Linked DNA regions of Alligator mississippiensis. The protein of the gene in region 1 interacts with the protein of each later gene in a biochemical or structural test. Links are inferred from orthologs where the notes say so. Each region holds a gene or a part of one and is shown in the gene's direction. Other genes may lie near its edges.

Region 1 (7,305 bases):
TGGGAGGCCTTGTGTCCCCCACACCAGGCTCAATGTACCCTGGTGCTGCCCTTGAGGGAAACATGATTTGGAGTCCATCCCCTGTGCAGAGCTAGGATAAAGTGTCTCAGTCCAACCCATGGTACAAAACATCTCCTAGTCTGATTAAATCACATGTGGGGCTGGTTATGGAAGGTGCAAATGGAAGTATCATGCAGAGGTGTGCATATGTTTTCTGGACTTATCTCTGGCTGAGGCATGGTCCTTTAGATGGCTCCTGTCCAGATATTAACTCCTCTGACCCACTGCTTTCCATTCAGGTTGGATGGCCTGTTCTTAGGAATAGGCTACAAACATAGATGCTACTTATGCTCAGGCTGGTAACCTGAACACTTTGCAATGAGAATGCAAGCTAAACCATGTGAGGGCTGATTGCCCTCCAGTGCCTTTCCACATTACCCTTCACCCACTGCCCAGGACAGAAACTGGGTAAGAGTCAAAGTGTACGGAGCACCTTAGCTCACTGCAGCTACGTATGCCTATGGGGTATGCCTTCAGAAGTCCTAGCAGCATACATGGCTGAATGCCATGTCAGTAAGGCTCTCTCTCAGGTATGGCTTTACAGTGTGGCTGCTCTCACTTGGGCACAGCTAGTACTAAGGCTTAACTCTGAGTGCCAGGCACCTGGAGAAGGCTGCAGTAGCATCCCTTAAGGCTACAATCCTGAGAACACTTACAAACATACATAGTTTGATTTCAGTGGGATTACACACATGGGCAAGATTAAGCACAGATGGGAGGAATTGCAGGATGGGGCCTGGGGAAGAATTCTCCTTTGTTATTCACCCAGCAAGGGAGTAAGGAGGAACGTCTGACCTCTCTCCATCAACCAACAGTGGCTGCCCCCCAGGTGCCCACCACAGGTAAGACAACCAGGCTCTGCAAATGTGACAGCAGCATAAGGACAGAAGCTCTTGGGGACCAGGTGCCAAGTTTGCCCTGCTACATTTGCACAACTTCACAGGCAAAGGAATCACCTGTGCCTGTCTCAACATTGTAATACAACATGGCTGTAACACCATCTGCTGCCAGCAAGGCAAACAGCTGGAAGCAATGATTCTACAGTAGTGTAGGTATCTCTCTATCTTAGGTGTGAATGCAGTCCCAATTACTCCAGCATCTGGACATATGATAATCTCCACTGTATTTGTCTGTACAGCTGTGATGTAAGTGCTGTTATGCTCACTGTACCAATGCAGTCCTGACATCCAGAGAGGCTGAGTGACTTGACTAAAGTTGACACAGCTTTGACATAGGAAGGCTGGGACAGAGCAGGGATTTGAACCCAGGTGTCCTAGACTGATACAGATTTATCACTGTCTAACCAACTTTTAAATATTCTAATATTTTTTTGTTTTCTACAAGAAAACCTCACAGAGTTACTAGCATTGGTGCGTTGTGGTGCCATGCAGGAAAAATCATGGACCAACATTTCACAATTTTTGTTTTTTAAACAATGACAGGGTATTTAAAACACAGGGCAATTAAGGCCTTGTACAGCTATGCACAGCTGGAAACCCTCATGTAAAACCACAAGGGAATGCTCTCTTCCTACAGTTTGGCTAGAACTGTAATGGGGTTTTTTTTGTTTGTTTGTTGGTTTTTTTACAAGCACTTTAATTACCCTCATATTTTAGTACTGCTGTGTTATTGCAATGTTACTTTTTGACACAGGAGAATTTTTCACGTGCTCTCCTCAATAAAGTTCCCTGATAAGAATGACACATTAAATGAGCTATAATTAGCTATTGGTGTCTTGGTCTTACAGTAGAACCAATAGTCCCCAATTTCTGATCAGGATTCTGCTGTCCTACATACTGGATGGATGGATGAGGAAAACCCAGGTCCTATTTAAGAGACTGCCCTGGTAGGCATGTGCAGCCAGATGGAGGTGTGCCCCATGCAGCCAGATGGAGGTGTGACACCAGTATGGGAAAAGCTCCACAACGGCTGCAGTTGAACCAATATGACTAACAGTAACATGGTGCTGTGGGCTTCAGTATGTGCAAGTAATCATAGCATGAGCCTTTGCGGGAAGTAGGCCTGTGGTTAGTCTGGGCTGAAGTATGTGCCACTGGCTCTGCTTGGATTAAGGCTGGATTAAAAGCTTCTAGGGAGATTCCTACCTGTGTTACAACCACCCCTACCCCTGTCCTGCCTACCCCAAATCTAGTGCTTACCAATCGTTACACCTGTGCCTGGCAATACACTTGAGCAGTCACCTCACCACCCCCAAGAGCTGCACTTGCAGGACCCAGGCAGGGGGCCAGCCCACCCTATCCTGCAGCCACAGGGGGCCCTGCTGCCAAGGGGCTGTGCCATTTTCCCCCTGCCGCCTGTGCCATGTTTAAAGAGCTCAATGCAGGCAGGGAGCCCCTTCCTGGCCAAATGGAGCAGGAGTTCCTGGCTCCACTCCTGCCCAGGGAGGGAACCCAGGCATCCCCAGTACATGCTGCCCCCACCCCGTGCCCCCCACAGTACAGCCCACATGAGTGCAGCCTGGCCCTATTTTATTTCAGTGAGTTTATACTGCAATTAACTGCAATTTTGATTTTTTGATGGCTCAGGGGACCCCAAAACTATATCATATCTTGCAGGGGGCCCCAAAAAACTGTGGGCCGGCCCTGGACCCAGGTCTGTGCTGAGGCTACAACAACCCGCCCCTTCCCCAACAGACTAAGTCAGAGCCCCTCAGCCTCCAGAGCAGGGGTTCTCAGCCCCTTTTGTACCAGGACCCATTTATAAGCAGGGATGGCCAGTCCCTCCCAGGGTGGCCATCATAGAGGACATTCTGGTTTTCTGCTACTCTGTCCTCTATTGATACAAAACCCAATGCTTTTATGTCCTCTGGTTTTCTCTTCAAGAGAAAACTAGAGGACATAAAGCCGTCTGGTTTCATATCAATAGAGAATAGAGGGCAACCGGATGGTCCTCTATGATGGCCACCCTAGTCCCTGCCCCAGTGCCCCTCACTCCTGACCCGCTGCCCCCCACCCCGGCGGAGGGGGCATGGGGGGCCACAAGCAGAGGGAACTCTGCCAGCTTGCAAGGGAAAAGCCACAGATTTTTTATTTATTTAAATTTGTATCCAAGGCCAAATTAGCCAAAACTAATTCCAAATTCAAGAGTCCAGAACCATAAGTGGCCCTACAACTGACAAACATCCTCCACCTGCACCTGGGACTTCACATGTTTCCAAAACCTTTGGCAGGCATCCTACTTGCAGACCCAAGCCCAGAGGCTTGAGGTTTGGCTGCCCCTGAGTTTTGCTTGCCCTCGGCCATAAGGCCCTTGGAGCAAGCAAGGGAGGAGACTCCCATTTCCATAAACTGGGCTTAAAGCCACCGCACCTCGGCGGGTCCTGAACCGCACCAGAAGTGCAGTTCTCCCGTGGAGCGGTTCAGGAAAACTGCCTTCTTGGACACAGAGACATGGCATTTCCCCTGCCAGGTTAAGAAGCCACCACACTTGATCTGAGCCTTCAGGAGGCCGAGAAGCAACAACCTGCCCAGGAACAGACTGAATTTTATTAGTAGATGTTCAGAATTGTAAACCGGAAAGATGACAAAAAGCCAGAAGGGAAAGACGGAGTGCCTGAGTGAGGGACTAATGTCAGAGGGATGGGGGTGGGACACGCAGCCAGGTTACAGAAGATACAACAGATTGCACTGTATTAGTACATGGCAAGAGTCATGAAGCAAAAAGATGACAAAGCCAGAAGGGAAATACAGAGGGAGTAACATAAGAGGGATGGGGGTGTGGAGGGAAACGCAACTAGGTTACAGAAAACACAATACCAACGCTTGAACTGAGCCCTCAAGAGGGCAAAGCCACAGATCACCATAGTTTTTTTTCCCCCCTTTAACAGGAAAACCGGCTTGTAAAGTGTGTTTTCCGCCCTCCCACACGTTGTCGCGACCCACCTCGGGTCCGACCCCGGCGGCTAAGTTACTCGGGCCGGTCCAGGGTGACCCCCCTGATGAAGGGCTGGGACGGGGGGGACCCGCCGGGACCCGCGCACCCGCTTTGCAGCGTACGCAAAGACACGCGGGCAGTGCCTGAGGGACACGCTGAGGCTGCGGGGCCGTGGACACCACCGCGGCCGGGGGCCAGGGAGGGAGGGGGTGCGAGCTACTCCCTCAGCTCCGGGCCACGCATTCCCCGGCGCGGGGGCAGGTGCGGCTCGGCCCCGCCCCCACCTGCTGACGCAGAGCTACGTCGCCGCCGCCGCTTCTATAAAGGGCGGGCGCGGGAGGCGCCCTACGGCCTGTGGACTGACTGAGTGAGGGGTGCAGGCGCCAGCCTTGCCCTGTCCCGCCCGCCCAGATGCGTCTCGCGCTGCCGCCGCCGCTGCTCCTGCTGCTGTGCGCGCTAGCCGGGCGCTCAGGTGAGCGGGGTGTGCAGCAGGTCGGGCCAGAGCCCCCTCCGGGCCAGGCTGCGCAGAGGGAGGCCCGTGCCCCTTTTGTGCCTGGGCTGGCCCGGGAGCCCAGAGCTGCTTTGCCTGTGAGTCACTGGCGAGGATGTGCGAGAGCTGTCACGAAGGTCCACGCCTCGGCTGGCTCCGGGCGCTGAGTGGGGAGAATGGCATCCTGCCCCACGCAGGTGACTACAGCTTTTGTGTCTCTCTCCTGGCTTCTGCCTCACAGCATGCCAGCATGTCACCGGCTTGGGACCCAGCGTGACGGGTGCCCCGCTAGCAGGGAATCACAGCAGCCCTGGGCATGAGATGTCTCTGGGAGTGGAGTATGAGGATGCGGACTACAAGGAAGAAGATGATGCGCCCCTGCCCTTGTACATGGTAGATGAGTCCATCAGAGGTGAGCTGCGGTGAAACTCGGGCTTTTCCCTGAGTCCCAACCCTAGCGTTGAGCTACAGGAGTGGTTCTGAGAACTTGTAGGGAGGTTGTGGCTGCACGTGCTCGGGACTAGCTGGCAACCGGCTGGTATGTAGGAGAGTGGCTGTGCTTCCGTGACGCCTGAACATGCCTTTTGGTGAACCTTGTAGCATAACGCTATGTTGCTTTGGTTTCCTAAATGTGTCTAGGGGCTGAAGAGAGTTGAAATGTCTTGGTGTTCTCCTACAGTTCAAAACGTCCTAGTCAATCTCCTTTGGCATAGCTTCTTCAAGGCTGGACTGAATGAAGCCTCCAGATTTTTTAAGTATTCCGCAATTCCCATTCTCATTTGGGGAGCTATGGTGTGGTGTGTTCTTGAAAAGTTTGTTTCAGCTGTTAAACCTGTAATTCTTGATAGAAATTACTGCAAGTTCTTTCTCTCTGTTTGGCAGGGGGAGGATTACCTATTGAGTGGCATGCAATTTTTCAGTTTGATTATTGTGCAATGCTTCTGTGTATGTCTGGACTAAAATAAAAGATGGGTTTTAAGAAGTGTTGGCCATATGTCCTATGTATACTAGGGATTTAAGCTGGTATTCTCGCATGCTAGCTGCTTTGGGTGAACATTAAATCAAAACTTGCTTTGTCCACACCAAAACTTTCTGAAATGTGAACTAGACACGTTGCTAGCTAACATCTTTTAGAGACTGAAACCTCTGTCTTGTCTCTGTAGACTTTGTTAGCCAGGAAACAACAATTTTTTAAGGGGTCTCAATGGCTCAACTGGCTAGTAGTGTAAGTTCTACTGGTTCAAGTCTGGCTCAAGTCATTGTATGAATGGGAGGCTCCACAAGAAATGGAGGGAGCACTGAAACTTGGAGGGTTAGTGACAAAATCTGTAACCCATTGGTTTCATTTCCTACAAGGAAGATATGTTGCACCTGGTTGTTCCTGTGTGTATATTAACATGCAGTAGTTTGAGGGCCACTATATTAAGGTATTACCTGGTTGTCATCTGAAGTTAGTAGGAAGATGATACTTGACTTTAGGAGACGAGCTCTGAGCTGCTTCTTGAGAGGCTGATTCTTGCAACATTTTGAGCGGAACTTCGATCTGGTAAAAGGCAGCTTAACTTTTGCATGCCCCCCCACCCCAATTGTGAAATACAGTAGTTGCAAGCTTAAGCTTATTGCTTTTGGCATGCTGGTTGGTCACAGAGCCAATCTTGCACGCAACAGGGCTGTTACCAAGCAGTCTTGTAGATTGACTCCTGTCTTTTGGCACTGAGCCAGTAAATTTACAATCCTAGACTTCTGTGGTTCAGCTGTAGATTACACTTGGGCCGTGTCTCCATGTTAATGCTGCTGTGTCTAGATGTAGTGCCCTCAAGCTGCTTATATTAGGATGGCTTCTAAAACAGAAGTGGTGTAGCAACATCTATGGTACTCTGGGCAATCTAATGACCACTGTCACTCGTTTGTGACGCAGTATTTTGAGTGGGCCACATACTACTTTCTGGTTAATCCAGAGACAGTATAGCAAGCTTGAGTGTATGGATGCCTGGCATGGGTTTTCCTTAAAGATGTATCTTCAGAGCCTTCAACAGCTTTAAAAGGACTTGGAGCTTGGATACTTATGTTGGGGAAAAAAAAAAATAGCCCACAAAGATTGTAGTTTGTTCTTAAAATCAAGGAGGAGTTGTCTAACAGGCAGCTTCTTAAGCTAAGGCATGAAAGTTGGCTCTATATTTGTTCAAGACAATAGGCCTACTTTGACTAAAGTTAACTGGAAAGGGGGTGTCAGCTATACAGTGACTAAGTTCAGAGCTTTCTTTTAGTGAAAGGAAACCTGAGTGTAGCTGGTACATTCAGCTCACCTACAAACACAAGTTGTACAATTTCAGTCTGACTTCTCCTGGCAAAAGATGATTTATTTATTTAGTAATTTAATATGTGACCAATGTGGCTTAAGATCTCAAGATAAAGTATAGGGCTGGCTGGTGAAAATCTTCCAAATACACAACTCTAATCTCTGCCTGAGGGAGTTGATCTAGCCCAGTGGTCTCCAACCTTCTTATGGTAAAGATCACTTCTTGGCACCCCAGGATATACTGCATTTCCCCCCCCCCCCCCCCCCCCCCAACAAGCTGTCCAGGCTCTAACCCCACTCACTCAGCCCATCCCAGCCCTGATGGTAGGAGAGGCATGGCTCAGCCCAGCCACATGTCCTGCAGCTCCCAATCGTGGAGCCTCTGACAGACTGAGATCAATTGTTAGAGGCTCTGTGATCGACCAGTCGTTCAAGATCAACTGGTTGGTGACCACTGATCTAGCCTCTATTAGAATTGGCTGTCAGTTGTCTTACGATACTAATCAAATGGGTTTGTCAAGGATGTAGTTGACTCTAAACCCACTTGTAAAGCTCATGGGTG
Region 2 (7,074 bases), on another chromosome or scaffold:
CCTGTACGGGGCTTGGTCCTTGCAAACTCCCTGTGGGACCCAGGTGTCCGGGTGCGGCCTGGGAGCAGGGCATGGCTGGCAGGTTCCAGCCTTGGGCAGGGCACATCTGGAGGGAGGGAGACCCTGCCCCAGCCCGGCCACTCCCTGCTTGTCGGTGGACCTCCCTCTGCAGCCCAGAGCCAAGGGATGAGTCAGGCTCTCGTGCCCCGCTCTGCTCTGGGCACCGTGCCACGGGCTGATGCCAGAGAAGCTGGGAAGCAGGAAGTGGCTTTGGGCCGGGTGCTGGATGGTGGGGAGGGGTGTGTGTCTTGCATGTCCCCGGTGAGTGTGCGAGTGCCTTGTCTGTACATGGTGAGTGTGCCAGTGTGCTACCTGTGCATGGTGAGCCTGTGAGCGCGCTTGATGTGCTCAGGGGATGTGCAAGGGCACTGCTTATGAACAAATGTGTGAGTGCATTGCTTACCGTGTGGTCTGGGCCCCCGCTCTTGCCTGCCCATATGGGGCTGGGGGCTCTGAGCTCACAGGGGCCTCGATTTTCAAGGCTGAGCATCCTCCCCTTTCATGTCTCCGAGACCCTGGGGCCTCTCCGGCTGCTCCTGATGCAGGACCACTGACCCCTGCCCCTCTGCTACTTTCCAGGATGCCCCAGCACCCCTCTCCTCCCCCTGCTTGCATTGCTCCAACCCTTCTCAGCCCCCCTTCTTGCCCAGCTGGGGCTGCCTCTACAGGGTCCGGGTCTGATTGCCTGTGCTCTGATTGCCTGTGGGCCAGGCCTGATGCTCGCAGCACCTGCCACAGCATCAAGCTGGATGGATAAATCTGCCCTGCAGACATGTCCCTGTGGTGTCCCACGCCCAGGCGCACCTGCCTGCTGCTGTGGGAATGGTTTCACCTGGGACAGGGGATGGGGATAGGGATAGGACAGCTCTGGATGGGGCTGTGATGGGAGAACCCCTGAGACCTGCCCCTGGCTGCTCGCTGCATGCGCTGATGGTGCTGCCATTTGTGCACTGACCCTGGTGGCTGGAAGCCCCTGGGGATGGGGAACTGCCCCCAGCCCCCCAACAGCATTGCACTGCTGCTCTCAGCTCCCTCCTGGCTTGCAAAGGGCTGCAGGGGGGTGGAAAGGTGTCCTGCCTCTCCTGCAGCCTGGTCCTTGGCATTTGCAGCTGGGCATCCTCCATCCATCGCCCCCATCCCAGAAGGGCTCAGGGCTAGGGGTGAACCTCAGGGTCCAGGCCTGGATCTCATTGCAAACTGCTGGATTCCCCTGGTGCAGGGGGGCTTGGTCAGGGCAGGGGGTCCCTTGGGCCTGGGGATGGGGGGGCACTGGCAACTTAAGCCTGCTTGTGGCAGAGCGGTGGGCAAATCCCACGGCTTCCCTGGGAAATGGAGATGCAAACCTGCTCCCATCCCATCTCTGGGGTTGCTGCAGGGCAGGAGCAATCCCCCCAGCCCACTTGGGGCCTGGGGCACCCTTGCACCAGCTCTGATCATTCTCCTGACCCAGCAACCTGGGTTCATCCCTCAGCCCTGGGAGCCATCTGGGCTCTGCCCCCTAATCAAACAGCCGATCCGGTCCCTGCCAGTGCAAACAGGACAGGAGCAAACAATTGTGCCTCCCCCCAGGTTCAGAGCTGCGCGGCCCTGCCTGCCAAACTGGTCCTGGGTGCTCAGATCCTGGGGAAGGGTGGGTAGGGCCTGCAGTGAGGATGGAGAGCTGCCAATGTGGACTCGGGTTCAGGAGCGGGTGAATGTGGTGCATATTGCTACCGGGTGCCCTGGTTCCCAGGCCTAGCCGAGAGCTGTCCGTGCTGTCCTGCCATGACCGCAGTGGCTCTGAGCCCCTGGTGCTGGGCTCATGGGCTGTTCTCCCACCCCATGCTCTGCACCAGTACCCCCCACCTCCATGCCCCCAGGTACCCTGACACGGGCAGGTGGCCATGGCCCAGCTCTGGGCAGTTCGAGAAGGGGCCAGCAATGAGGACCCCTGGAGCTACTAGGGGCTTGGAGAGACTCCCTTTGGGCAGCCCCAGGGGCTCAGACCCCTGCCCCATTGTGCTGCGACCTGCCACTGCTGCCCCCCCACTCTGGCAGGATGCGGGAAGGCGCATCCTCGGCGCTGTCAGCTGGATGAGACCAGGCTTGTTCCTGGGGCCTTGTGAGCTGGGGAGCAGGGTGGGCTGAGCCATGGTCCCCAGGCAGAATGGGGCTGCACTTGCACCGACATTCAGGTCTCCACAGGCCTGGCTGTGCAGTGAGAAGCAGCTGCTTGCTCCCCCTCCCCCCTGCCGCTCGCTTCCCTTCTGCATGGCGGCATCCTCCCCACTCAACTTTTATTTAATTGCATGTCAGGGTTTGCAGCTGGCTGGGGGGTGTTGGGACCTGCCAGGCTGGAGCCAGCTGTGCAGAGCCCCCTCCAGCTGTGCAGGGTGTGAGCTGGGAGGACCCCTGCATGGGTGAGCTGGGGGATGGGGACCCTCGAGCTGGCATGCAGCGGGATCCCCACTGCCCACCGGCACTGCTGCCAGGACCTGGGGTCTCCAGCTGGGAGGTGGTGACACTGACCCCAGCCCCACGGCATGGTGCTGGGCACTGCCTTTGCAGCCATGCACTCCCAGACCCCTCCCAGGGAGTCAGGGGTCTAGTCCCTTTTGCTTCTGAGCAACCCCCGAGCCCTTGCAGCTCAGATCCCTGTACCCACAAGGCCTTGGCCCAGCTCCACGCCCTCCTCCCACTCTCCTCCAGCCGGAAGCAGCAGGACTTTCCCCTACCCGGAAACCTCCCTCCTCAGCTCCATGTGAGTCACAGCCTGCATGGGGCTGAGTGGGGCTGTTCCAGGAGGCAGCAGGGCTTGCCACCTCCTCTGCACAGGTTGAACCCATTAAGACCAAGCCAGGCCCAGGTGTGACTGGGGGAGGGCATCTGGGCTGCCCTGCCCTGTGGGTCCTGGGTCCTTTCTCAGGGAGGTGGCAGCTGACAGCGCTCTGCACTCTCCTTCCTGGAGCAGGGGGGTCGGGGTGCAGAGCCTGGCACTCCCCAAGATGCTCCAGCATCGGGCACCCATGTCTGGGCTTGCAGCCCAGGAGAGCTGAGGGCCTCCCATCTCATGTAGGGTCCATGCCTCTTCTCTCCCTGGCAGCAGAGGCTTCGCATGGCCCCTGTGGCAGAGGGGCTGAGCCGTCCAGGGTCCTGGCTCTGGGCTAGCTTAGCAGCCAGTTCCATGCCAACCAAGCCCTGTGCCCCCAGGGTAATCAGGCCTGGAGCCAACTCTTTCCCTGCTAGCCTTGCAGAGCTGGTACAGCTCTGGGCCCATTCCCAGCCCTGTCTCCTGGGAGATCCTGCCTGCCCCTGGCTCTGGAGTTTGCCTTGACCCAGGCTCCAAGGATGCTGGGGTGCTGGGAGATGCCTCCAGGTTGCAGCAGCTTTGCTTTCATGCCTGCAGTTTGCCCTGTGGCCTCTGATCCACCCGGGGCATCTCCAAGCATTGCAACTTCGCCTCATCCTGGCTTGCACCTATGCTCTGAGCTGGCCACATTGCAGGAAGGAGGATGCAGATTAAGGTCATGCTGGGCCAGTGTGGACACCATCAGGGTTTGACCCCAGAGACCTGCCTATGGGGCTAATGGCAAAGACAAGCCTGGGTGGGCAAGACTTGGTGGTCCCCGTGTGGCTTGCTGTGGGGACTTCCCTGCTGCAGGGATGTGACCTTCCCAGGCTTTGGCAGGGCATCAAGCCTGTATCCCCTGCTCCAACCCCACTGGCCTGGTCCACCCAGCTCAGGGGGATGCTCTGGCACGTGACCGGGACCGTGGGGCCTATGACACTTAGTGGAAGAATACAGCCCAGGCCAGACCAGCATCTGGTTACACAACTCAGCGGCACCGCCCTCCCACCATTATGAAACGCAAGGCAGCTGCCTCCAATTTCAGTTAAAAAAAATGAAAAACACTCCGAAACAGCAGCTCGGGCACTGTGCGTCATGGAGCTGCGGATGCTTCCCATCGCTTCATGCTCGCTGGGATTAACCCTCGGAGCAAATGCGTGTCCATGATCAGGCCGTGCCGGGTAGGGCAGGCATTTCCTATGCAGCTGTGATTGAGCTGTCCTAGGGTTTCCTCCCCTGCGTGACCAGGGTAGGTGACGCGTGAATAGATGCCTTGGCTTGATGAAGCCCTTGTCACTGTTTCATGCTTCCTGGGCCCTTTCTCCCTGAAGCATCTCGGGGCAAAGTGTGGGGGGAGGGGGGGGGGCAGGCAGGAGTATGGCTGTGGACTGGAGCCACCTGGACACATGGCAGGTTTATCCAATTTGGGGTGCTTTAGACAGAGAGGGGTAAGGGAGATCTCAGATGATGGCCATTGACTCACCTGAGCAGCCATCCCACGCTGCCTTGTCCCATGTCCATGCATGTGTTCATCCACCCCATGCTCATCCCCCCCGCCCCCCCCTCCTCTCTCCCACCAGGGATTGCAAAGACTCATTAAGCTCTGACTCCCCCAGTTCGTCCCTCATTTTGTTTCCTGCTCTTGTCCAGGCTGTTCCACTCCCTCCCCTGCAGATACACCCCATGGCCCGGTGCCAGTCGGTGCCCCTTGCACCCACCGGGGCAGTGGCTGCATCCGCCCATTCTTCTCTGCCCAAAATTGGGCCTGAGGGGAGGGCAGGACATGGGGCCCAGGGCTCCCCAGCCCCTTGTAGCCAATGCCTGCCAGGACGTTTGGGTGCTCCTCCGCTCATTGGCCTTGCTTTAATTTCCAGAGCCGGAGGGGGTGTCCCCAGTCATGTACGCTGACTATAAATACTGAGGGTTTTTGCTCAGCCGCTTGTCCGGCCAGCATCTGTCAGCCTATTTCCTGCCTCGCTGCCTTGGTAAGTGGTTTGTTTTATTGAGATGCTTGGGGCTTCAGCTGCTCCAGCTGCTGGTGGTTTGTGCATGGGGGGCTGGGGACACAGCCAGCCCTGCGGTTTGGGAGAAGGGGGCGCTGCCTTTGCTGCAGCAGATGTACATGATCCTGAGCTGGGGTGGTGAAGGCGGCCACGGGTTCCCCACTTAGCCTGGGTCTCAGAGCTGCCCTCTGCATCCAGGCAGTTTTGGGGTTAGTGGAGGTCTGGGGCTCTGCTCTGACACAGCCAGGGCTGCAAAGGGCCTCCCCGGACCCACGCAAAGGGTGATGCCTCCTCTGGAGTCTGGGCTTATGCAGCAGCCTGGCTGGGGTCTGCAGTACTTGTGCCCCCCGTTGTATTCCCATTATGCTCCCAGCCCCCAGGCTGTCATTGCTTGCCCCCCACAGCCATTCTTCTGCTAAGCCCCCAGCCCTCAGGCTGTCATCGCTCGGTCCCTCCAGCTGTGCTCCTGCTAAGCCTCCAGCCCCTGGGCTGTCATTGCAGTTGGCGCTGGCTACCAACGCCCATCTGCGCTGCCAACATGACCTCAGGGGAGGCTTGGGAGCAGGCAGGAAACAGTGACACATCCTCCTGCCTTGGTGCAATTAGCAGGTGGGGGCCCTCCCTCTGGGGATGCTGGGCAGGGCCAGGCTATAGGCACTTAGCACTTGTCCCATGGGCCTGGGTGAAGGGTCTGTGACCGGAGGGCTTGGTGGGGATGCTGGGAGAGCTGGGCACACCACAAAAGACAGGACCCGGGTACCTTGCCTGTGCTCCTCCTATGCAAAGGCACTCAAATATATTCAAATCTGCTTCCGTCCCTGCACCCTTAACCCCTGGGCCAGCTGGTCCCAGCTTGGTAGGGAGCTCTGTGCTTCGGGCCGTGCTCTAAGCAGCCCCCTCCCCACGTCTCTAGCTCCCAGATCTGCCATGGCGCATCCCTTGGAGCAGGCACTGCAAGTGATTGTCTCCACCTTCCACAAGTACTCGGGGAAGGAAGGCGACAAGTTGAAGCTCAACAAGGCAGAGCTCAAGGACCTGATGCTGAAGGAGCTGCCCAGCTTCATCAGTGTGAGTGGGGGGACTGGGACCCCCAGGCACTGGGGGCGGTGCTGGGACCTGGGCACAGGAGACCTGTCTGCCCCTGTGAAGGGGTCCAGTGGCCTCTTGCAGAGGGGGCTCGGTTCCTGCTCTGGGATTTATTCTCAGATAAATCTATTCTGCCCCTTTGAAGAGGGGAGGGGGGCAGGAGGTGCCCACGTCCTGTCCCAAACAGTTCTGCCTGGGGCGGGTACACGCGGATGATGGGGTGGAGGGAGGTGGGTGATGCCCTGAGCTGCAGGAGGGGTGCAGAGCATTTCTGGGCTAGGCTGAACCCTGCTCCCACCTCCTTCCCCCTGGCAGAAAAAGACGGATGATGCCAGCTTCCAGAAGATGCTGAGCAACCTGGATAGCAACCGCGACAACGAGGTGGACTTCCAGGAGTATGCCACCTTCCTGGCCTGCGCTGCCATGATGTGCAACGACATCTTTGAGGGCTGCCCCGACAAGATGCCACGGAGGAAGTGATTGCCCTGGGCCTGGGCTGTCCTGCGTGGGTTCCTCCTGGGACCCCCGCTGCATTGCTCACCACTGCCTCGAGAGCCCGTTGAGAGCCCGTGCAATAAAGTCACTTCCAGAGTCCCGTGTGTGTCTTCGACTGTGTAACTGGTTCCCGGACTGTGTTGCACATGGAGTCGTAGGGGTGGGTAAAGTTCCCTGTGGGGTCTTCAAGGGTTTCTGCCAGCTTTGCCCAAAAGAGCAGGGGTCTGATCCAGGCGCAGGGAAAAGTGCAGCAAACCGGGGTCGGGGGCTTTGCTCCTTCCAACTCCAGGATAGCAGCCCTCAACTGCTGGCAGCAAGGGGAGCTCCTCCTAGGCTCTACCCCGCTCCAGGGGGATCCATCTTGGCAGGTGACCCCATAAGTCCTTTCCTACCTGGGTGAGTTTATTGCAGAGCCAGAGCCTGCTGCAGCCCCTTCCCCACAGCTCAGTGACCATGGGGTCCCAAGACCAGGGTGAGGGGCTGGGCCACAGCACTCCAGGGCAGCTGGCTGTGTGGCCCTGGGGTCACCCACAGAGAGGCAGCAGTGCCTGTGGTCCAACTCCACCGGATGGAGCCATGGCTGCTGCATGACGGGGCTTGGAC

The links.
Region 2: the proteins of AREG (region 1) and S100A4 form a complex in vitro, tested with the Homo sapiens proteins (2 studies listed by IntAct, with this or other methods). The link is inferred for Alligator mississippiensis from reciprocal best matches to the Homo sapiens genes AREG and S100A4.

What each region holds. Positions count from the first base shown.
Region 1 is NC_081825.1:165,235,826-165,243,130, reverse strand, and holds the start of AREG (amphiregulin), read left to right. Parts: upstream 1-4,305; 5' UTR 4,306-4,365; coding exon 4,366-4,426; intron 4,427-4,685; coding exon 4,686-4,856; intron 4,857-7,305.
Region 2 is NC_081838.1:13,253,470-13,260,543, forward strand, and holds S100A4 (protein S100-A4), read left to right. Parts: upstream 1-4,765; 5' UTR 4,766-4,872; intron 4,873-5,803; 5' UTR 5,804-5,817; coding exon 5,818-5,958; intron 5,959-6,291; coding exon 6,292-6,456; 3' UTR 6,457-6,570; downstream 6,571-7,074. UniProt on the Homo sapiens protein: Calcium-binding protein that plays a role in various cellular processes including motility, angiogenesis, cell differentiation, apoptosis, and autophagy.